3 linked regions of the Anolis sagrei genome follow. The protein of the gene in region 3 purifies or fractionates together with the protein of the main gene of each other region. This does not show direct contact. Links are inferred from orthologs where the notes say so. Each region holds a gene or a part of one and is shown on either strand. Other genes may lie near its edges.

Region 1 (7,513 bases), on a different chromosome or scaffold from region 3:
AGTAGGGTGGCCTTTTGCAGCTGACAGATGATAATTTTGTCAGCGCCTATTGTTTTTAAGTGCAGGCCAAGCTCTTTACGCACTGCACCCAGTGTGCCGATCACCACTGGGACCTCCTTTACTGGCTTGGGCCAGAGTCTTTGCAGTTCGATATTTAAATCCTCATTTTATTATTATTTAATACATAACAAGATAAGTACACAGCACAAGATCAGTATGCTGGCTTTTGTATTTGATCACACGTCAGACACTTCCCAAGTGTCTAGGACTGTGTGATGTATTGGCGAATAATGTGTGCATTATTATTATTATTATTTTACTGACACAATAACACAGTATGTCACAGCAAATGAAATCTATATGCTGGATTTCGTATCACAAATCACAAGTTGAATGCTTCCTAAGCGTCTAGGACTTTGTGATGTATTTTCAAATGATGCGCGCAGATCCAAGTAAGGTGGCCTTTTGCAGTTGAGAGATTGCGATTTTGTCAATGTTTATTGTCAATTATTATTATTATATTTTACTGACACAAAATCACAGTGTGTCACAGCAAACAAGAGCTATATGCCGGATTATTATTATTATTAGCTGTCCCCTGCTACGCGTTGCCGTGACCCAGTCTGTCTATATGTGTTTTGTGTGTATGTGTGTGTGTATGTTTGTGCATATGTATGTTTGCATATATATGTGTGGTTTTATGCGTGCGTTGTAATGTATTTTTGTTTTGTTTTTTTGGCTTTTTAAGTCTCTTCTGCTGCGTTTTTCAGTGTTTTATATGTGATGCTCACTTGTTGTCCTGATAGGTGACTTGCATCCAAATTTGGTGTCAATTCGCCCAGTGGTTTTTGAGTTATGTTAATCCCACAAACTAACATTACATTGGGTTGTTGTAGGTTTTTCCAGGCTATATGGCCATGTTCTAGAGGCATTTTCTCCTGACGTTTCGCCTGCATCTATGGCAAGCATCCTCAGAGGTAGTGAGGTCTGTTGGAAGTAGGAAAATGGGTTTATATATCTGTGGAATGACCAGGGTGAGACAAAGAACTTTTGTCTGCTGGAACTAGGTGTGAATGTTTCAACTGACCACCTTGATTAGCATTTAATGGCTTGGAAGTGTCTGGGAGGAATCTTTTGTTGAGAGTGATTTGATGTGCCTGATTACATTTTTATTTATATATATTATTATTATGCTAAGCTGCTTTGAGTTCCCTTGGAATCTTTTGTTGAGAGTGATTTGATGTGCCTGATTACATTTTTATTTATATATATTATTATTATTATGCTAAGCTGCTTTGAGTCCCCTTCTGGGGAGATAAAGCAGGGTATAAATATAATAAAGAATACCTTTTATTGATAACTCACATTAAAACACACACATAACTTCAATAAACATAGCTGATTAAGAATTTTTTGAGAACCTTGAAACTTAGAATCATAGAATCAAAGAGTTGGAAGAGACCTCATGGGCCATCCAGTCCAACCCCCTATAAGCATATTGTAAGCATATACTTACAATATATATGCTATAAAGTCTCCCCTTTATTCTGAATGGCTAGCAAAGCTTTAGCAGCTTAATGCTATCCTTTATGCAAAAACATACCGAACAGACTTGCTTTTGTACCTAGCCCGCAGAGCTCTGCCTCCTAATCCTCCTGTTTACCCCTATCTGTGCGTGTCCCCCAGCCTCTGTGGCCCAGCCACCTACCTGCACGGCATACATCCCTGCCCCCTATCTCCTTTTCCATTGGCCAGCAGGGCTGCCAATCACCCCCTCAGCTAACGCTCTTGCCTTTCTATTTCAGACACAGGCTGCCTATTGTGGCTGGGCCTGCGAGCAGCAGCAGCAGCCTAGGCTAAGCTTGACTCCCATCACGAAATACAGGTTTTTTGTTTTCCCACGGAGGAAGCAAGCAAGGAAGGAAGGAAGGGAGCAAGGGCTTTTGTGCAGAGCAATGACAACAAAGCTTACTGAAATCGAGGCAATGGGGGAGGAGGGAGGGAATGGGAGGGAAAGGAAGGGAAAAGAGAAGCAGCTGCCTGGCGCAAGTTTCCTTTCTTTTCCAGATGAGGCGATACCTGAGACCTCGGGCTTCCTTCGGAGGGGCTTCGGGGGAAAGGAGAGGCTCTGGGCTCCAGGGCGGGTGGGTCCGCAGGCTCCCAGGGCAGGGATCCGAGCCGGCCTGCCTGCCTGCCTTGCTCTTGCCTGCCTGCCTTCCGCCTCCTCGCCCCCTCTCCCGCCCCCCTCAAGCCCGGCTCTTGTCAACAAGCACTTAGGACCGAGGACGTCACTTCCTTCGGAGCCTCGCCGCGGCTTCCAGGAAGGCTCAGCCGCAGCTAGGCCCACGCGCCACTACCACAACACAACAACAACAACAAACGCCTATCAGGGCCTGGGCGAACTTGGGCCTTCCCTCCAGGTGTTTTGGACTACAACTCCCACAATTCCTCACGGCCTCAGGCCCTTTCCTTTGCCCCCTCAGCCGCTTAAGCGGCTTAAGCGGCTGAGGGGGCAAAGGAAAGGGCCTGAGGCCGTGAGGAATTGTGGGAGTTGTAGTCCAAAACACCTGCAGGAAGGCCCAAGTTCGCCCAGGCCCTGATATATATGTGTGTGTGAGCTCCTCTTCGTAGGCCCAATGGCCTTCACCCTAACAGAAGCGGGCCTTTTGTGCCAAGAAAGCAACCAAGCCACCCTGAGGCCTGGCTCAGGCTTCTCCATCTTGCCGCCTGACTGGTTTAGGTTCTCCTTTCTTCCTTCCCTGAGAAGGAGGTGACGCCCACGCTCTCGTTTCCCCCTCAGGGGCGCTTCATCTCCCTCAGGGCCTCCTCAGAGGCGCCCCCGTCCTCCTCCTCGTCCTCCGACCAACCGTCCCTCAGAGAGGAGAGAGCTTTTTCTCATCTCCCCTAGTTCCTGCTCCCTCCATCCGCCCCCTTCTCGTCCTCCTCGCTCCGTACCTGTGGCTGCCGCATCCCCGTCTCGTCTCCGCTGCCTGCCTGGCTCTTTGTTTCCTGCCGCGGGCCGGACGGGAGAACAGGCTCCCCCCACCGCTGCTGCCGCCGCCTCCGCCTCCTCTTCTTCCTCCGCCTCCCGCTCATGGGAAGCAAATAAGCATCATGGCGGCGGTAGGCAGGCAGGCAGGCAGGCTTCAGGGTCCTCCGCCGAAGGAAGCGGTTGGGCCTGAAGATGGCGGCGTTTGGGGTCGCTGGGAGGTCCGGAGGAAAGGCCACGCGTGGTGAGTCCGGTAGGCTTCGGCCACAAAGCCAACCTTAAAAATTCTGGCATAGACACTGAGAGCTGGGAAGCCCTGGCCCTTGAGCGCTCCAGCTGGAGGTCAGCTGTGACCAGCAGTGCTGCAGAATTTAAAGAGGCACAAATGGAGGGTGAAAGACAGAAACGTTCCAAGAGGAGGATGCATCAAGCCAACCCCGACCAAGACTGCCTTCCACCTGGAAACCAATGCCCTCACTGAGGGAGAAGGTACAGGTCAAGAATAGGGCTCCACAGTCACAAGAATATTGATCCTGGAAGACTATCCTACTTGTCCAACGAGGGATTGCCTAAGTAAAGTAGGTAAGTAAGTATGACCTCTGGTAAAAGGGGCATGGATGCCGCCTGGCCCGTGGCTCAATGCTCTGGAGTTGCAGTTCGGTGAGGCACCGGCAGTGTTTGTCAAACTGCAACTCTCCGTTCTCCATAGCATTGAGTCATTTCGGTGAAAGTGACGCCATTCTACAGTGTGGCACAGGCCTGAGCAAACTTGGGCCCCTCCCGCCAGGTCTTTTGGACTCCCAATTTCCACAATCACTAACAGCCAGGCATGGGCAAACTTGGGCCTTTTTCCAGGTGTTTTGGACTTCAACTCCCATAATTCCATAGACTGTTAGGGATTGTGAGAATTGGAAGTCCAAAAGTCCGTAGCACTGAGTCATTTTGGTGAAAGTGGCGCCATTCTACAGTGTGGCACAGGCCTGAGCAAATTTGGGCCCTCCCACCAGGTCTTTTGGACTCCCATTTCCACAATCACTAACAGCCAGGCATGGGCAAACTTGGGCCTTTTTCCAGGTGTTTTGGACTTCACCCATAATTCCTAACAGCCACTGTTAGGGATTGTGGAAGCTGGGAGTCCAAAACACCTGGAAAAAGGCCCAAGTTTGTCCATGCCTGGTATAGAGAATAAGGGACCTTCCACACAGCCCTATAACCCAGAATATCAAGGCAAAAATCTCACAGTATCTATCTCCTTTGAACTGGGTTATCTGAGACCAATGCCACGCAGCTGTATAAAATCCCACATTTTCTGCTTTAAACTGGAATTTATGGCAGTGTGGATTCAGATAACCCAGTTCAAAGCAGATATTGTGGGATTTTCTCCCTCTGTGAACCATCCGGAGACTAAGATCTTCCAGGGAGGGCCTGCTCTGGGTCCTGTCACTGTTGAGATTGGTGGGGACAAGAGAGAGAGAGGGCCTTCTCAGTGATTGCCCCTCGGCTATGAAAATCTCTCCCTGGTGAGATTAGATCAGCCCCCTCCCTCCTGTCCTTCAGAAAGATGGTAAAAACTTGGCTGTGGGACCAGGCCTTTGGGGCAGTGCAGTAAGACAACAATAGGAAACTTTACCCTACTGTCTGATGCGAGAGGATTTGAAACATTTGCTTTTAAAGTGGAGATAATTATCTGATTTGAACTGGATTACATGGCAGTGAAGATTTATGGCCCTTTCACACTGCCCTTATCCCCGGATCTGATCTCAGATTATCTGCTTTAAACTGGAATATACGAGTCCCCGCTGCCAGGTATCCTGAGATAATCAGATAATCTGGGATCAGATCCTGGGATAAAGGGGCAGGATGGAAGGACCCCTATATAATCCAGTTCAAAGCAGACAATGTGGATTATATTGTAGTGTAGATCCAGCCTTAGTCTTAAAGGTACTACAAGAGCCCTTTGCAGACTCATTTTCCAGACTGACAGGGTTGTGCCTCCTGATTTGTTGGGTGGGTGGAGTAGGGGGGAGGTTACAAGCATCTTTTGGAATGCATCTATTCGATATTATGGAAATAATGCAGTTTGACACTGCTTTAACTGTCATGGATGATGCTATGGAATCCAGGGAGCTGTTGTTTGGTGAAGCCCCAGATTCTTTGGCAGAAAAGGCCAAAGCACTTGTAAAACTAAATCTCCCATGATTCTATAGCCTTCACCTATGGCATAGTATTCACCTATGGAGCCCCCGGTGGCACCGTGGGTTAAACCCTTGTCAGCTTCAGCTTCTCATGCGGGGACATGAGAGAAGCCTCCCATTGGATGGTAAAACATCCGGGTGTCCCCTGGGCAACAGCCTTGCAGATGGCCAGTTCTCACACCAGAAGCTACTTGCAGTTTCTCAAGTCACTCCCCACACACACAAAAAAACACCTATGGCGGTTAAAATGGTGTCAAACTGCATTAATTTTACACTGCAGGTGCATCTTTATTCTGCCTAAAGGCCCAGGCTGTGACTTATAAATTAATGCACCTGGAGTGGGAGAAGAATCAGTGGGAATTGCTTCAGAGTAGATGTGTGTATGATCAGGTAGTGGTGAAACTGGCAGTAGGCTCCTCCAGGACCAATGGATTTACTTCCATGCAAGTGTGGATAGGATACAGAGGTCTACTCTTGGAAGGTGTGGGTGGTTCCTGGGAAGGGTTGGAGAAAAAAAAGGAGTGATTAGCAAGCCATGGAGATCTGACAATTGCAGTGGGCTCTTACTATCTCTGGGGTTTTATTTCAGAACCTCCATGTATACCAAAATCTGGATATGGAAGCCTCATAATATACTTAGTAAAACAATGTCCCTTATATAAAATGGTAAAATCAAGGTTTGCTTTTTGGAATTAAAAAATAATTTAGCCTCTCTTTGAGGTTGCCTGTTGAAAATTGATGGCAATGCATTAGTGTTAAATAATTCTGTCAGACATTGGGCAGTTTCATTTAAATAGAACAGCTCTATTGATATGATACATAAATCGACAAGGGTAGGATAATGCTGTATGAAATGGTTAAGCTGAGACTGCAGTCCTTGAAAAACTTAGCCCTAGTGGCACTCCCCAGCTGAAGAAGAAAAGGTGGCCTTGTGTGTTATATGTCGTACCTATGTTGTCATTTGCTAACCTCCGCATTAAGGATTAAATCACTTTGAACTCATTAGGATTTGAATCTGAGTAAATAGGTCAAAAACAGACTGAAAACCTTGCTAGGTGAGTCTTTATGCAATTTAAAGGTAGAGACTGAAGGAAAGGATTGACTTGAATACGATTTGAGGGGAAATGAATAGGCCTGCCTATTCAAGGGCTTGATATTGAGGATTATACTTGTGTGGAAGTCGTTTCTATTAAAAATACAGGGTGTGGGCTGTGCTGAGAAAGATCACTAGAAATATAGGTTAGTGGGTGGCAGAGCTGTCAGGTTAAAAAGGCTCACTTATTGGGAACTGGGTGTTTAAGTCCTGTTCACCACATTTAATTCTGATTAGGATATTTTAATGCTGGATATTTGGACAATCACAGATAAATCATTTTGGACACTAAAATGCAGTTTATAAGGCAAAGTTGATTGTATGTATATACATAGTTTATTATAAGACAGGTGTCAGGTTACTGTACTGCTATTAAGGGATGGCTTGGCTGTTATGGCTCAGGTCCCTGGTATGTAACCTACTCCCAATCATATTCAAGACTACAGTAGAATCAACAGACAGGTTGTTTACACATTTTAGTTTATGTAGTTTATGCTTTTTTAACACAATACAAACAACACATAATTATCAGCATTGCCAAGAATATGTACAGTCTCAGTATTCTTTGCATTATACAACAAGGAATTTGGGAGTTAACATACAGTGAATCTATGCAATCCTACCAATAGATTTTTAAGCTGTTTGTCACATTGAACCACTTATTCAGAGTGTGGATAGTAAGACATTTTCTAGCTGGATCCTGTATATGAGAGCAGCATAAAGGTTCTTTAGCGTGTAGAGTGTGTGCTGTAAATAGTGTAATGCAAGATCATGTTTTTTATCTTTGCTTATAAACCTGCTTTGCTGCTTATAGCTGTCATCAATATCCTAATGAGGCAAACATTTTGAACAGATGGACAGTGACAAGTATTAGTTTTCTGGTCTGGATACTTAATGGGAACAAAGATTGTAACACGAGGTGCTTCTCATTTTGCACACCTTAACATGGTAAGTACATTGTTATGTAAGCTTATTAATGTCCTTTTTCTTAAAAAAAATCAATCCTTTATTTGACTTGCCTGTTAACAAACATTTCTGTCTCTATGAACATTTCAGATTGGCAGGCTTTGATGCTGAACTTTATATTGAGAATGATTTATCTGATCAAAATGATTTGTCTCTAGTTTCACTGTCTAATGTGTATGCGAGGGGAATAATGCAGCCCTTTCATTGTGGTTGGATTGTAAATATGAACATAGTCTGTCTGAGTGTGATTTCCATAACAGCAGTTCAATA
Region 2 (7,148 bases), on a different chromosome or scaffold from region 3:
TGTAATAATCTTGTGCATGAAATAAAGCCTGTGTACATTGAACCACAAGAAAGCAAAGGCGTCTCTATCCCAACTACCCATGTGAATAATTTTGTATATTTCAGATTTCCAGATAAAGAACATATATAGTATGTATAACTTCTGAAAATATGATTGGAAATCTTTTTTTCTTTTCTCTACCTCTATTTTCTTTTGTTTTTTCTAGATATTTTTCAGTGTAATTTTAAAATCAATGAAGACAACAGCAGATAAAGCACTACTAGAGAAACCTTCTGTGAAGCACACTGCAACAACTATATTTAATTTTTCATTATTGTTATAGAGGTCTTTCAGTGTAGTGTTTAAAATCAATGGCAATAATATCAGTAGATAAAGCACTACCAGGGTAACCTTCTATGAAGGCAAACAGAACAATATCTATTTACTGAAAAGATGAAGATAAGTCATCTGATTTTTTTCCCTTTTTCCTTATTTTTCTCTTTTTTCCCTTTCCTTTTCCAGATAACTTTCAGTGTAATGTTAAAATCAATAACAATATCAATAGTGACACCACTATCAAAGAAGTCTTCTGTGAAGGCACACACTGTCAAATTAAAACTGCTGAAAAGACAATAGAAATAATCTTTTTTCTTTCTGTATTTCTTTTTAAAAATGTTAAGATACATTTAAGTGTAAAGTTAAAATCAATGATAATTTTAAAAGTGTCTAGAGCGACTTGAGAAACTGCAAGTCGCTTCTGGTGCGAAATAATTGGTTGTCTGCAAGGATGTTGCCCAGGGGACGCCTGGATGTTTTACCACCCTATGGGTGGCTTATCTCATGTCCCCGCATGGAAAGCTGGAGCTGACAGGAAAGAGCTCACCCTGCTTCCCCAGATTCGAACTGCCAACATTTCAGTCAGCAGTCCTGCCAACACAAGGGTTTAACTCATTGTGCCACAGGGGCTCCACAACAAAATTAGCATCACTAGATAAAGCATGACTGAAAAAACATGTGAAGGCACACAGCAGCAATATCTCATTGCTGACAAGATGACAGTAATAATCTTATTGTTCTCCTTCTTTCCCTTTTTCTTTCTATTTCTCCTTTTACATTTTACTTTATTTTTTTCTAGATATCTTTCAGAATAATATTAAAATCAATAATTCAGCAATACATACTAGAGAGACCTTTTGCGAAGGCACAGACATCAAGATTTAACTGGTGACAAGACAATGCAAAGTATTTATTTATTTATCGTGTCAGAAGCGAACCAAGGTTACAGTTGTAATGTATTTAAAAAACGCAAACAAAGTTAAAAACTTGGCATTATACTAAATGTCCTTTGACCAGTAGCTGGCCACTTTGAGTGCCTTTTATTTTCCACCCCACTTTTTTCTAGTTCTCTTTTTCTCATACTTATATATCTTTCAATATAATGTCCTTTTTCCTTCCTTAAGCTCTGAGAGGGGGGGGGGAGGTAGTTTAACCCCCCTAACATTGGTCATGATTGGTATATATGAGCCAGCTTTCTCCAGACCTATTGTGGGTGGGATTCACATGCTTCTTCAGATGTGACTGGACTACAACTCTCATCTTGCTGTATCAACCCCGCCCCCAGAGATGCAATCGGTGAAACCCAGGACTGCTGACCAAAAGGTCGGCGGTTTGAATATTGGAGGTAGGGTGAGTTCCCATCTGTCAACTCTAACTTCCCATGCAGAGACATGAGAGAAGTAACACATCTGGATGTCCCCTGGGGGCAACATCCTTATAGACGGCCAATTCTCTCACACCAGAAGCAATTTGCAGTTTCTCAAGTCGCTCCTGAAACGATAAAAAAGCTAAACAAGAAAACAACCCACAAGTATTTTAATTTGGATCACGAGGGATATGTGTGCCAAGTTTGGATCCATCACGCAATATAGGAGCACGTGTGGTTCAAACAAACAAACATCCATACCTAGCTGAGGCCTGTACCCTCCAGGTGCTTGGGCCTCCAACTCCCAGTTGGTCCAATGGTGCAGAATTCTGGGAGTTGGGAGGCCAGATCAGCTAGAGCAGGCCTGGGCCAACCTGGGCCCTCCAGACGTTTTGGACCCCCAACTCCCACCATTCCTAACAGCCTCAGGCCCTTTCCTTTTCCCACTCTGCCGCTGCGGCTGAGGGGGAAAAGGAAAGGGCCTGAGGCTGTTAGGAATGGTGGGAGTTGGGGTCCAAAACGTCTGGAGGGCCCAGGTTGGCCCAGGCCTGGGTTAGAGGGCCACAGGTTGTGCAGACCTGAATGGGTGGCTTACCTGAGAGCGGGGGCTTCTCGCCGTCGTCGCCGGCGCCTCCACCCCCCGCTCCGGCCGGGCCTGGCCCAGCTGAGCCGGATCCCGCGGATCCCGGGGCGGCGCTGGCGTTGGGCTGGGCGGCGGTGGCGGGGGGCGCTCCGGGGGCGGCGCTGGCGCGCTCGGGCGGCGCGGGGTTGAGGAGGTGGGCGAAGATGGCGGCGAAGGGGTTGGCGGCGAGGGGCTCGGTGCGGTACATCTCCCAGAGTAGGTAGAGGGCGGTGAGGCGCTGCGGCGGCGTGGGCAGCAGGTCGGGCTGCTGGAGGAGCAGCACTAGCACGGAGCCCACGCGGAAGTGCTCGGCCTTGCCGAAGTAGTGGTGGAAGGCCGTGGAGAGGCCCTCGAAACTGCCCCCGCCCGCCTCCTCCGAGACGATGCTCAGCAGGCTCGACAGCTCCTTCGGCGAGAGGCTCATCTTCTCCTCAGGGCAGGGCGGCTCCAGTCCGAAGGAAAGGCCGCCGCGGGCGAGAAGGCCGCGGCCGGGGACCGAACCCGCCGCCTCTGGGGCTCAGCCGCCCTCAGAACAACTCGCACGGGCCCCGCCCCCGGGCATCCAGCCTCGACCCACCCCCTCTCCCTCTCCCTCTCTTTCTCCTCACGGCCTCTTCCTCTCCCCTCTTCCTCCTTGCGCGCGCTCTATTGTTCAGCCTCTCACCTTCCTGCCGTAAAGCTACCCCCCACCGCGCGTTTTCAACACTGTCGCAAAATTAAAGGCAGAGGAGCGGGAAACTGGCCCGAGGGCGGGACGGAGGGAGGGAGGAACTATCATTCTCTCTCTCCATGGGCCAGATTGATTTTCGCCGAGCCTTGCCCATCTGATTGGTTCTTCCCAGCTCGGATACTTGAGGGAAAGACTGGATTGGCTGCTCGAATTTGGAACGTCAGCAGGAGGAAAGGGATTGGCCGATTCCTTTTTCAGGCGGAGCGCTTTCATCAGATGACCCGAGACATGTGTCGCCTTACAACAACAAAACTTTATTTCTATACCGCTCTACCACCCCTAGGAGCTGTCTTCATAGACCTGTCAGCAGCTTATGATACTGTCAGTCACCGCCTCCTCCTTAGAAAAATGTATAATATCACAAAGGACGACCACCTCACCCGCCTCATAGGAAACCTGCTACAAAACAAGAGCTTTTTTGTTGAGTTCCAGGGCCAGAGAAGCAGATGGCGGAAACAGAAGAACGGCCTGCCTCAGGGGAGCATGCTCGCTCCATCCATGTTCAACATCTACACAAATGACCAGCCACTGCCAGAAGGGACAGAGAGTTTCATCTATGCTGACGATCATGCCATTACTGCTCAAGCAGGAAACTTTGAGATGGTTGAACAGAAGCTCTCCGATGCTCTAGATCAGGGGTCCTCAAACTTTTTAAACAAAGGGCCAGGTCACAGTCCTTCAACTGTTGGAGGGCCGGATTATAATTGGAAAAAAATAGAAATTCCTATGCACGCTGCACATATTTCATTTGTAGTGCAAAAAACACTTTAAAACAATACAATAATTAAAATGAAGAACAATTTTACCAAATACAAACTTATTAGTATTTCAATGGGAAGTGTGGGCCTGCTTTTGGCTGGAAAGGTAGGATTGTTGTTGTTGTTGTTGTGTGCTTTCAAGTAGTTTCAGACTTAGGTTGACCCTGAGCGAGGGCCTGATAAATTACTTTGGAGGGCTGTATCCGGCCCCTGGGCCTTAGTTTGAGGACCCCTGCTCTAGGTGCTCTTACTGCCCATTATGGGGAAAACCCACTGATCCCTAATCCATCTAAAACACATACATGTGCTTTTCACCTCAAGAACAGACAAGCATCCTGAGCTCTGAGGATTACTGGGAAGGAATCCCACTGGAGCATTGCAGCACACCCAAATACCTGGGAGTCACTCTGGACCATGCTCTGACCTACAAGAAGCACTGCCTGAATATCAAGCAAAAAGTGGGTGCTAGAAACAATATCATATGAAAGCTGACTGGCACAACCTGGGGATCACAACCGGACACAGTGAAGACATAGGCCCTTGCGTCATGCTACTCTGCTGCTGAGTATGCATGCCCAATGTGGAACACATCTCACCACACTAAAACAGTAGATGTGGCTCTTAATGAGACATGCCAGTGGTGTAGGAATGTCTGCGCCCTACACCATTGGAGAAATTACACTGTTTAGCCGGTATCGCACCACCTGACATCTGCTGGAAAGTAGCAACCAATAGTGAAAGGACCAAGGCAGTGACATCTCCGGCGCATCCTCTGTTTGGGTATCAGCCAGCACGCCAACAATTTAAATCAAGAAATAGTTTTCTAAGATTTACAGAGACACTCGCTGGAACACCTCAGCAAGCGAGAGTCCAAAAGTGGCAGGCTCAAACCCAGAACCTCAATCAATGGCTGAAACCAAATGAGAGACTCCCCCCTGGGCACACAGAAAACTGGGCGACATGGAAGGCGCTGAACAGACTGCGCTCTGGCACCACAAGATGCAGAGCCAACCTTAAGAAATAGGGCTACAAAGTAGAATCCACGACATGAGATTGTGGAGAAGAGCAAACCACAGACCACCTACTGCAATGCAGCCTGAGCCCTGCCACATGCGCAATGGAGGACCTTCTTGCAGCAACACCAGAGGCACTCCAAGTGGCCAGCTAGTGGTCAAAGGACATCTAATAGAATACCAAGTCTGCAAATTTTGTGTTTTGTTTGTTTGTTTGTCTGTTTTTTAATGCAATACAACTGGTTTGGTTCGCTCCTGACATTATAAATAAATAAACCCCGAGGGGACTCAGAGCGGTTTCCAAGTAACATCATCAATACATTCAAAGTAAACAACATAAAATTAACAAGACAATATAAGCATAAAAATCACAATAGCACATATATATTTAAAATAATCCTGCCTGTTCAAGGCAATTTAAAAGGCCAGGCCAAGGCTAGTGCAATTTGTAGAGGGCCCAGGAAATTAGGTAGAGTCTATGGCTGTTCATTTCCAGGGCCTAATAGGAGGAAGTAACCTGGGTACTTGGTAGAAAAAGATATGACCATATTCAACAGTATCTGGGGCTGAGCTAGAACTAGTCGTCCTCAAAGTCTTGTTTAAACCACCAGATCTTCAGGCTCTTATGAAAGGAGAGGAGGGATGGGGCCTGTCTTACTTCTCTAGGAAGGGCGTTCCAGAGGCGGGGGGGCCACCACCGAGAAGGCCCTCTCTCTCATTCCCACCAACCGTACTTGTGACGGGGTGGGAGCGAGAGGAGGGCCTCCTTGGAAGATTTTAAAGTTTGTGCCGGTTCATAGAGGGAGATGAGATCGTGAAGATCGGGGCCCAGTGTTTCTCAATCTGTGTGTCCCCAGATGTCTTGGCCTTCAACTCCCAGGATCCTAACAGCTGGTAAACTGGCTGCAATTTCAGGTAGCTGTAAGCAAAACACCTGGTGACCTACAGGTTGAGAACCACTGCCTTTAGAGCAAGCATGTTCTGCCAACATAGCAGTTTGAAAACATGCCAATGTGAGTAGATCAATAGGTACCACTCTGGCGGGAAGGTAACAGCGCTCCATGCAGTCATGCTGGCCACATGACCTTGGAGGTGTCTATGGACAACGACGGCTCTTCGGCTTAGAAATGGAGATGAGCACCAACCCCCAGAGTCAGACACAACTGGACTTAATGTCAGGGGAAAACCTTTACCTTTACCTTACCAAGAGCAAGCATGGGCAAACTTTGGCCCTCCAGGTGTTAGGAGTTGTGTGAGTTGAAGTCCAAAACAGCTAGAGGGCCAAAGTTTGCCCATGCCTGCTTTAGAGATTGGCATTCTCTTTTCCATACAGAAAGTCAGGGTTGAAGGATAATAACACTATGTAACACGAGTTTTGTTCCTAGGTTATAAATGTTGTTTCCTGTTTGGTTCTATCCTGGGGAAAAGGTAGCGTATACATTAATAAATATGGATGCTGCTTTCTCTTTTTCTTATGTTTTTTTCCTGCTTTTTAAAAACACTTTTCCAAGATGAGGAAACAAATTTAGAGGGGAATCGAAATAATTGCCCTAGGTTTATTTTATTACTTTAGTAACATTAAAAAGCTTCATTTATAACTTGCTTAGCATATTAAAATGGTACTGTTTGGTGTGTTCATGAAATTTAAAAGCCTTACGTTCATATAAGCAAAATTGTGAATTATTAAAGAGTTATAACTCTGTGCCACCTAAACAGATAATAATAATTTACTACATATAAGACATATAACCGGCCTGAGTCGCTCGTCGGAGGTGAGAATACCAGTATATAAAAGTTCTAAATAAATAAATAAATAAATATAAATACGTAAAAATAATTTTATATTTTAAATTTTAAAAATTAAACAATATTGTTTGATTTTAACCAGTTTTATCTGTGAGCCATCTTGAGTCGGATTTGCACGCATTATTCGCCAATACATCACACAGTCCTTGGGAAGTGTCTGGCATGTGATCAAATACAAAAGCCAGTGGAATGATCTTGTTTGCTGTGTACTAATCTTGTTATTAATCTAATGATGATGATGATGAATTTATTACCCGCCTCTCCTTGCGGCTTGAGTCAGGGTACACCATTATTACAACAAGAGATAAATCGCTATTAAAAGACATACAAGATACCCAGAGTTAAAATATAAATTAAATCCATTGATAAAATTTAGATTAAACTTCACAATTTAAAATTTACTGGGTAGGCCTACCAAAAGAGATGGGTCTTCAATTTGTCTTAAATTCCAATGTGCTCTGGATGTTGCCATCTAGAAAATAGGAAATTATAAAACAGAAACCACACGTTTTGTAAGATATAAAATTAAGTATCATTC
Region 3 (7,255 bases):
GACTGATCAGGACCAAATTTCACACAGAGACCTCTCATGACCCACTTTACGTCCTGGTGTGGTTTGGCCGAGATGGACCGTGGATTATGGGACTTGCAGTACCATTGCTCAATTCTTCAGACCACTGCAACCCTCATCCAATTACCGATAAATACCAAACTTGGCACACTGAGTCTCCATGACGCACTCTACATCCAGGTGCAGTTTGAGGGAGGATGCACCATGGACGATGGAACTTGCAATACCTGCACTCCCTTCCTAAGACCATTACAACTGCCAACGATGATGGATCAGGACCACAATTTACACAGAGAGCCTGCATAACTCACTCTACATCCTGGTGCGGTTTGGAAGAATTTGACAATGGATGATGGGACTTGCAGTCACTTCACTCACTTCCTGAGGCCACTGAGACCCTCGCCAATGACTCATCAAGACTAAACTTGGCACATGGAGCATCAATGACCCACTCTACATCCTGGAGCAGTTTGGAGGACGACAGACCATGGATGATGGGACTTCAAGTACCTCCACTACCCAAGACTGCTGCAAAACTCATATAATGACCAATACAGACCGAAATAGGCACACAGAGCCCCCATGACCCACTCTACATCCTGCTGCAGTTTTGGAGAAGGGTGGACCATGGATGATGGAACTTCCAGTACCTTCACTCACATTCTGAGACCTCTGCAAACCTCATCCAATGACGGATCAAGACCAAACTTGGCACATAGACCTCTCATGACCCACTTTACGTCCTGGTGTTGTTTGGAAAAATTTGGAGATGGATGATGGGACTTGCAGTACCTTTGCTCACTTCCTGAGACCACTGAGACCCTCGCCAATGACTCATCAAGACTAAACTTGGCACATGGAGCTCCAATGACCCACTCTACATCCTGGTGCAGTTTGGAGGAGGACAGACCATGGATGATGGGACTTCAAGTACCTCCACTTCCTTCCAAAGATTGCTGCAACCCTCTTCTAATGACCAATCAAGACCACACTTGGCACACAGAGCCCCCATGATCCACTCTACATCCTGCTGCAGTTTGAAAGGGGATGGACTTTGGATGATGGGACTTGCAGTACCTTCACTCACTTACTGCCACCACTGCTACCCTCATCTAATGACTGATAAAGACCAAACTTGGCACACAGAGCCCCATGACCCACTCTATATCCTGCTGCTGTTTGTAGGAGGATGGCCCATGGATGATGGGACTTCAAGTACCTTCACTCACTTCCTGAAAATAATGCAGCCATTATCCAAAGACCAATAAAGACCAAACTTGGCATACAGAACCACCATTACCCACTTTCTCTAATAACCCGGGCAGCGCCGGGTCCCCAAGCTAGTATATAATAAAGAAGAGTGTTTGTTTGTATAGGACAGAGGAATTGTGGAGGGCGGAAGTGTATGTGGCAGCGTTCTGATTGGCTGCCACTGTGGTGCTATTTGCATATGGTCTCTGATTGGACAGCTTCAATAGGAGCCCCTGGTGGAGAAGAGGGTTCATGGCAGAAACGGGGCATGACAGAAGGAAATTTGCATATGGTCTCTGATTGGCCAGCCTCAAATCCAACATTCCGAGATGACAAAGAGAGGAAAGGAAAGGCCAAAGGGGGCTGGGTCAGAACACTCCCAATACAGACCGAAATAGGCACACAGAGCCCCCATCACCCACTCTACATCCTACTGCAGTTTGGAGGAGGATGAACCATGGATGATGGGACTTGCAGTACCACCACTCACATTCTGAGACCTCTGTTAACCTCATCCAATGACTGATCAGGACTAAACTTCGCACACAGACCTCTCATGACCCACTGTACGTCCTGGTGTGGTTTGGCCGGGGATGGACCGTGGATTATGGGACTTGCAGTACCATTGCTCAATTCTTCAGACCACTGCAACCCTCATCCAATTACCGATAAATACCAAACTTGGCACACTGAGTCTCCATGACACACTCTACATGCAGGTGCAGTTTGAAGGAGGATGCACCATGGACGATGGGACTTGCAATACCTGCACTCCCTTCCTAAGACCATTACAACTGCCAACGATGATGGATCAGGACCACAATTTACACGGAGAGCCCGCATAACTCACTCTACATCCTGGTGCGGTTTGGAAGAATTTGACAATGGATGATGGGACTTGCAGCCACTTCACTCACTTCCTGAGACCACTGAGACCCTCGCCAATGACTCATCAAGACTAAACTTGGCACATGGAGCTTCAATGACCCACTCTACATCCTGGAGCAGTCTGGAGGACGACAGACCATGGATGATGGGACTTCAAGTACCTACACTACCCAAGACTGCTGCAAAACTCATCTAATGACCAATCAAGACCAACGTTGGCACACAGAGCCCCCATGACCCACTCTACATCCTGCTGCAGTTTTGGAGAAGGGTGGACCATGGATGATGGAACTTCCAGTACCTTCACTCACATTCTGAGACCTCTGCAAACCTCATCCAATGACGGATCAAGACCAAACTTGCCACATAGACCTCTCATGACCCACGTTACGTCCTGGTGTTGTTTGGAAAACTTTGGAGATGGATGATGGGACTTGCAGTACCTTTACTCACTTCCTGAGACCATTGAGACCCTCGCCAATGACTCATCAAGACTAAACTTGCCACATGGAGCGCCAATGACCCACTCTACATCCTGCTGCAGTTTGGAGGAGGACAGACCATGGATGATGGGACTTCAAGTACCTCCACTCCCTTCCAAGGATTGCTGTAACCCTCTTCTAATGACCAATCAAGACCAAACTTGGCACACAGAGCCCCCATGATCCACTTTACATCCTGCTGCAGTTTGAAAGGGGATGGACTTTGGATGATGGGACTTGCAGTACCTTCACTCACTTACTGACACCACTGCCACCCTCATCTAATGACTGATAAAGACCAAACTTGGCACACAGAGCCCCCATGACCCATTCTATATCCTGCTGCTGTTTGTAGGAGGATGGGCCATGGATGATGGGACTTCAAGTACCTTCACTCACTTCCTAAAAATAATGCAGCCGTTATCCAAAGACCAATAAAGACCAAACTTGGCATACAGAACCGCCATTACCCACTTTCTCTAATAACCCGGGCAACGCCGGGTCCCCAAGCTAGTAATAATAATAATAATGATACGAAATCCAGCATATATATCACATTTGCTGTATCATATTGTGTTTTTGTGTCAGTAAAATAATAATAATAATAATGTGATACAAAATCCAGCATATATATCTCATTTGCTGTGACATACTGTGTTTTTGTGTCAGTAAAATAATAATAATAATAATAATAATGTGATACAAAATCCAGCATATATATTTCATTTGCTGTGACATACTGTGTTTTTGTGTCAGTAAAATAATAATAATAATAATAATAATAATAATAATAATAATAATAATAATGTGATACAAAATCCAGCATTTATATCTCGTTTGCTGTGCCATATTGTGTTTTTGTGTCAATAATAATAATAATATTCTTTTGTCTGGATAATTTACCATGTCTTTGCCTGTGAAACCCTTAGTATTTTGATATATATAGACTAGTATAAATAGACACAAGATGCGACCCTGGTAGAGGCTTGGCAAACAGCTCTGGAGGAGTATGAAAATAATTGGGATCCATTGTGGCTTGTAGAAAAATGAAGTATCTGAGCGGCAAGAACAACAATGTCTGTTCTGCCTTTTTCTCTCTCTCCTTCAGAGGCATTCTGCCTGCTTTCAAATTTCCCTTAAAAGGGAGAGACTGTGTGGTTCCACCTCCTTCGGCCTGGTGTTCAGATGCAAGCTACGGAGCAGGGCTGTTTACACTCTCTGGGCTGTGTTTCAGTCTCAGGCCGTTTTTGTCACACGGCGGGAGAGTTTTCCTTTTCATCCTCGGGTTCACTTCTGTTCTTGAGTGCTGAACTAGCAGAGCAATAGCCAGTTGGAACGGCTTCTGGCACGCACCCTCCCCATAACCCTGTTCCTCCTCCTGGCCAGGGTTTGGCCCTCTCTAGAAATCTAGTGGGAGGCTGTTGCCGTAGCGACGGGAGCAGGCCCCAGCTTTACCTCACTGAATTCCAGGGCCGGTGCCAAGCAATTGAGAAATCGGGAGGAGGGGGAAGTACTCCAGATGTTTACTCGCTGCTCTGCATATCCGGGTTGGGAGCAGACACAGCTGAGACGGAGGACCGAGCAGCAACGCTTCCTGTTGCTCGAAGGGGTGGAGAAGCAAGGGCTTGGAAAGAGAAGGGAGATTCGGGCTTGCAAGGCAGCCAAAGGGGAGTGTTGTGGCAAAGTGACAAAGGAAGGGGGAAAGGAGGCAGCACAAGAGTTCAAGGCACAGATTTGGCATGAGAAGGAGCAGTGTCTCTGGCAGGGTGTGACAGAGGTGGAGCAGGGGCAGTGCTGCGTGGAGCAGAGCAAGAGAAAGCTAACAGCTTTATGAGTGTCACATTCCCATCCTTCAACATGAGTCACGGCCTGGGTGCTTGCAAGAGACTCGCTCCCTTCATCCATGTTCCAGCCTGCCCTGGGAGCGGCCTGCCATGAAACCGACTCTGCGTCTGTGCAAAAGAGCCCATGGATCCCTATAGTTAAGTTAGTAAGGACATCTTTAATCCATATATCTCCTGAATGTGTTGGGATTAGAAAGGAAGGAACAACCAAAACAAAAGAAAGAAAGAAAGAAAGAAAGAAAGAAAGAAAAGAAAAAGAAAAAGGGAGGCTTATGCTGGAAAAGGAACCAGGTGGAAAGGTTATACCAAACTTGGGGGGGGGGGGGGGGGGCTTTGGTGTCCTAAGAGATAGGAAACCTTGTTAACCTGTTTACAGATTTATATTTTTCCACAGGTTGTCTAAACTCATCTTTTTCTGCTTTAGGGACTGACATTTATGTGGAGTTCTGAATCCCAGCTTGGTGATGTGATGGATCCTAAGCCCCAGCCGCTGTCCTCCCTCCTTCCCTGTACTGCTGCCAATGGACGTGGGGGGCCCAAGCAACCATCAGGCAACCCAGAGACAGGTATGTCCTGTGATTTTAGCCTTTAGCTTGAGGAGCAGTATCATTGGGTACACCTACACTGTAGAATTAATGCAGTTTTGACACCATTAGAACTGCCAAGGCTCCATGCTATGGAATCATTGGTGTTGTAGTCATACCTAAAATTGATAGTGTACGAGGTGGTAATCTCAAGCTTGAACTTCTGCAATGCATTTTACATTGGGCTACTTATGCACCAAGTTTGGAAACTTCCCTTTGTTCAAAACACAGCAGCCAGACTAGTTACAGGAACACCCAGGAGTGAACGTATTACATCTATACTATAGTCACGCTTCTGGTTGCCCCAGGCAAAGTACAAACTGTTGGTTTTGAACTTTAAAACCCTACATGGCTTAGGTCCAGGTTACATACAGGATCACCTTCTCCCATACAATACACCCTGCACACTTAGGTCCTCTGGGGGCTGCTACTCCTACCAGACAGAACTTGACTGTCACTCAGAGGACCTTTACATCAGCTGCCCCAGGTCTCTAGAATGACCTGCGAGAAGAAATCCGACAACTAAATTAGACCAATCTCTTCTTATACAGCTACCCAGTCAATTCTAAACTGAATTTTCTACTCATGTCTTGTGTTTGCTGTTTTAATTGTTGTTCTGTGATTTTTAATATATGTATTTCATAGAAATACATTTTAATAGATGTATTTAGCATAATGGGTTGTTGTAGGTTTTTTCAGGCTATATGGCCATGTTCTAGAGGCATTCTCTCCTGATGTTTTGCCTGCACCTATGGCAAGCATCCTCAGAGGTTATGAGGTCAGACTTCATAACCTCTGAGAATGCTTGCCATAGATGCAGGTGAAACGTCAGGAGAGAATGCCTCTAGAACATGGCCATATAGCCCAGAAAACCCTACAACAACCCAGTGATTCTGGCCATGAAAGGCTTCGACAATATTTTGCATAATGTTTTACAATTATGTGTTTTTAACTGTGTTGTGCCCCACACGAGCCTCAAGAAATAATAATAATAATAATAATAATAATAATAATAATAATATCTATCATTTTCTGCCCAAAAGGGCTGGTGCCTCACCAGACTACACATCTTAAGATTCCATATCATTGAGCCATGGCAATTTAAAGTGATGTCAAGCTGCATTAATTTGACAGTGTAGATGCGTCAATTGTCATTAAATCATGCATTGTTTTATCAAATTTATAGAGGCTCTGGATTTTCCTGTTTAGGGGTGATGGGTCATCTGAGAGTTGAGAACCAGTTGTTTTTGTTTTTAGATTACATGATATCGTTCATGCTTAATTGGAGTGCTGTAGGCTCTTACTTTTATATGCATGAGGAGGATTTTTTTCTTTGTCTTCTTTTTTAATATGGTTCAAACGTATATTCATCAACTGCTGTTTGCAGTGGAGCTCCCCCCCCCTCCAAGAGCTGTGTCATATGATTCTTCTTACCTTAAAGATATTACAGTTTATATGCAGTCCTGAGGGACTTCACAGGTGGTATTAGTAGTAATTTAGAGGCTCATCCAGTCTAGCTTGTGTCCAACGTTACATATCATCTTTAATTTTTCTTTGTGCTGATAGCACTGTGAGATTATAGATTTACAGAGGAGCAGTGCTACACTAAATGTTTCTGAGGTCTAATTGTTTTTTTTTTTACTTACAAATGAACTATCGAAGAGTGCTCTTAGTTTCACTGCCCACCAGTCCAGCTCTGTGAAATTTTATTCTTAGTCATGCTCCAGTTATACACAAATAACTGAAGCCTATCATGGGTAGCCATGTATCTGAATTTTGATGCATTGGGTAGCCATGTATCTGAATTTTGATGCATTGAGGAAGTGTTCATTACCTTATCATAGTGATTAACATCCCCATAGCTGTACCTTTCCCTGAATTAACAAGTGTATAGAACTTTCACAGTGGCTTTATGAGAAACATAATAGAAATGAGGTTTTAGATTTTGCTGTAATAGGGATGATAGCAAAATATGCCCAGCTCTAATCAGCTTCTACCCCATTTCTGTTTAATGCTGGTTGTAATAATCTAATGGAGAGAAACAATGGGTGCTTTTATACTTAGTGGTGCCTAACACAAGGTGGTCTAACCTGAGAAGAAACCACAGCTGTAAAAAGAAATTGGAGTAAAGGACTTGGAAAGAAGATGCATGGCTTTGTCATTTTTCATTGTCATTTGTCATTGGTTA

Evidence for each region. The genes of interacting proteins can lie anywhere in the genome.
Region 1: the proteins of TNKS1BP1 (region 3) and CNOT6 purify together in Homo sapiens (affinity purification with mass spectrometry; 3 studies listed by BioGRID and IntAct, with this or other methods). This does not show direct contact. The link is inferred for Anolis sagrei from reciprocal best matches to the Homo sapiens genes TNKS1BP1 and CNOT6.
Region 2: the proteins of TNKS1BP1 (region 3) and CNOT11 purify together in Homo sapiens (affinity purification with mass spectrometry; 5 studies listed by BioGRID and IntAct, counting the BioPlex papers as one, with this or other methods). This does not show direct contact. The link is inferred for Anolis sagrei from reciprocal best matches to the Homo sapiens genes TNKS1BP1 and CNOT11.

Annotation. Positions count from the first base shown.
Region 1 is NC_090022.1:87,485,046-87,492,558, forward strand, and holds the start of CNOT6 (CCR4-NOT transcription complex subunit 6), read right to left. Parts: upstream 3,056-7,513; 5' UTR 2,956-3,055; intron 2,198-2,955; exon of another isoform or gene 2,080-2,197; intron 1-2,079. UniProt on the Homo sapiens protein: Poly(A) nuclease with 3'-5' RNase activity.
Region 2 is NC_090023.1:103,549,688-103,556,835, reverse strand, and holds the start of CNOT11 (CCR4-NOT transcription complex subunit 11), read right to left. Parts: upstream 3,056-7,148; 5' UTR 2,728-3,055; coding exon 2,277-2,727; intron 1-2,276. UniProt on the Homo sapiens protein: Component of the CCR4-NOT complex which is one of the major cellular mRNA deadenylases and is linked to various cellular processes including bulk mRNA degradation, miRNA-mediated repression, translational repression during translational initiation and general transcription regulation.
Region 3 is NC_090021.1:233,714,091-233,721,345, reverse strand, and holds the start of TNKS1BP1 (182 kDa tankyrase-1-binding protein), read left to right. Parts: upstream 1-4,164; 5' UTR 4,165-4,542; coding exon 4,543-4,629; intron 4,630-4,670; exon of another isoform or gene 4,671-4,774; intron 4,775-4,907; coding exon 4,908-5,049; intron 5,050-7,255.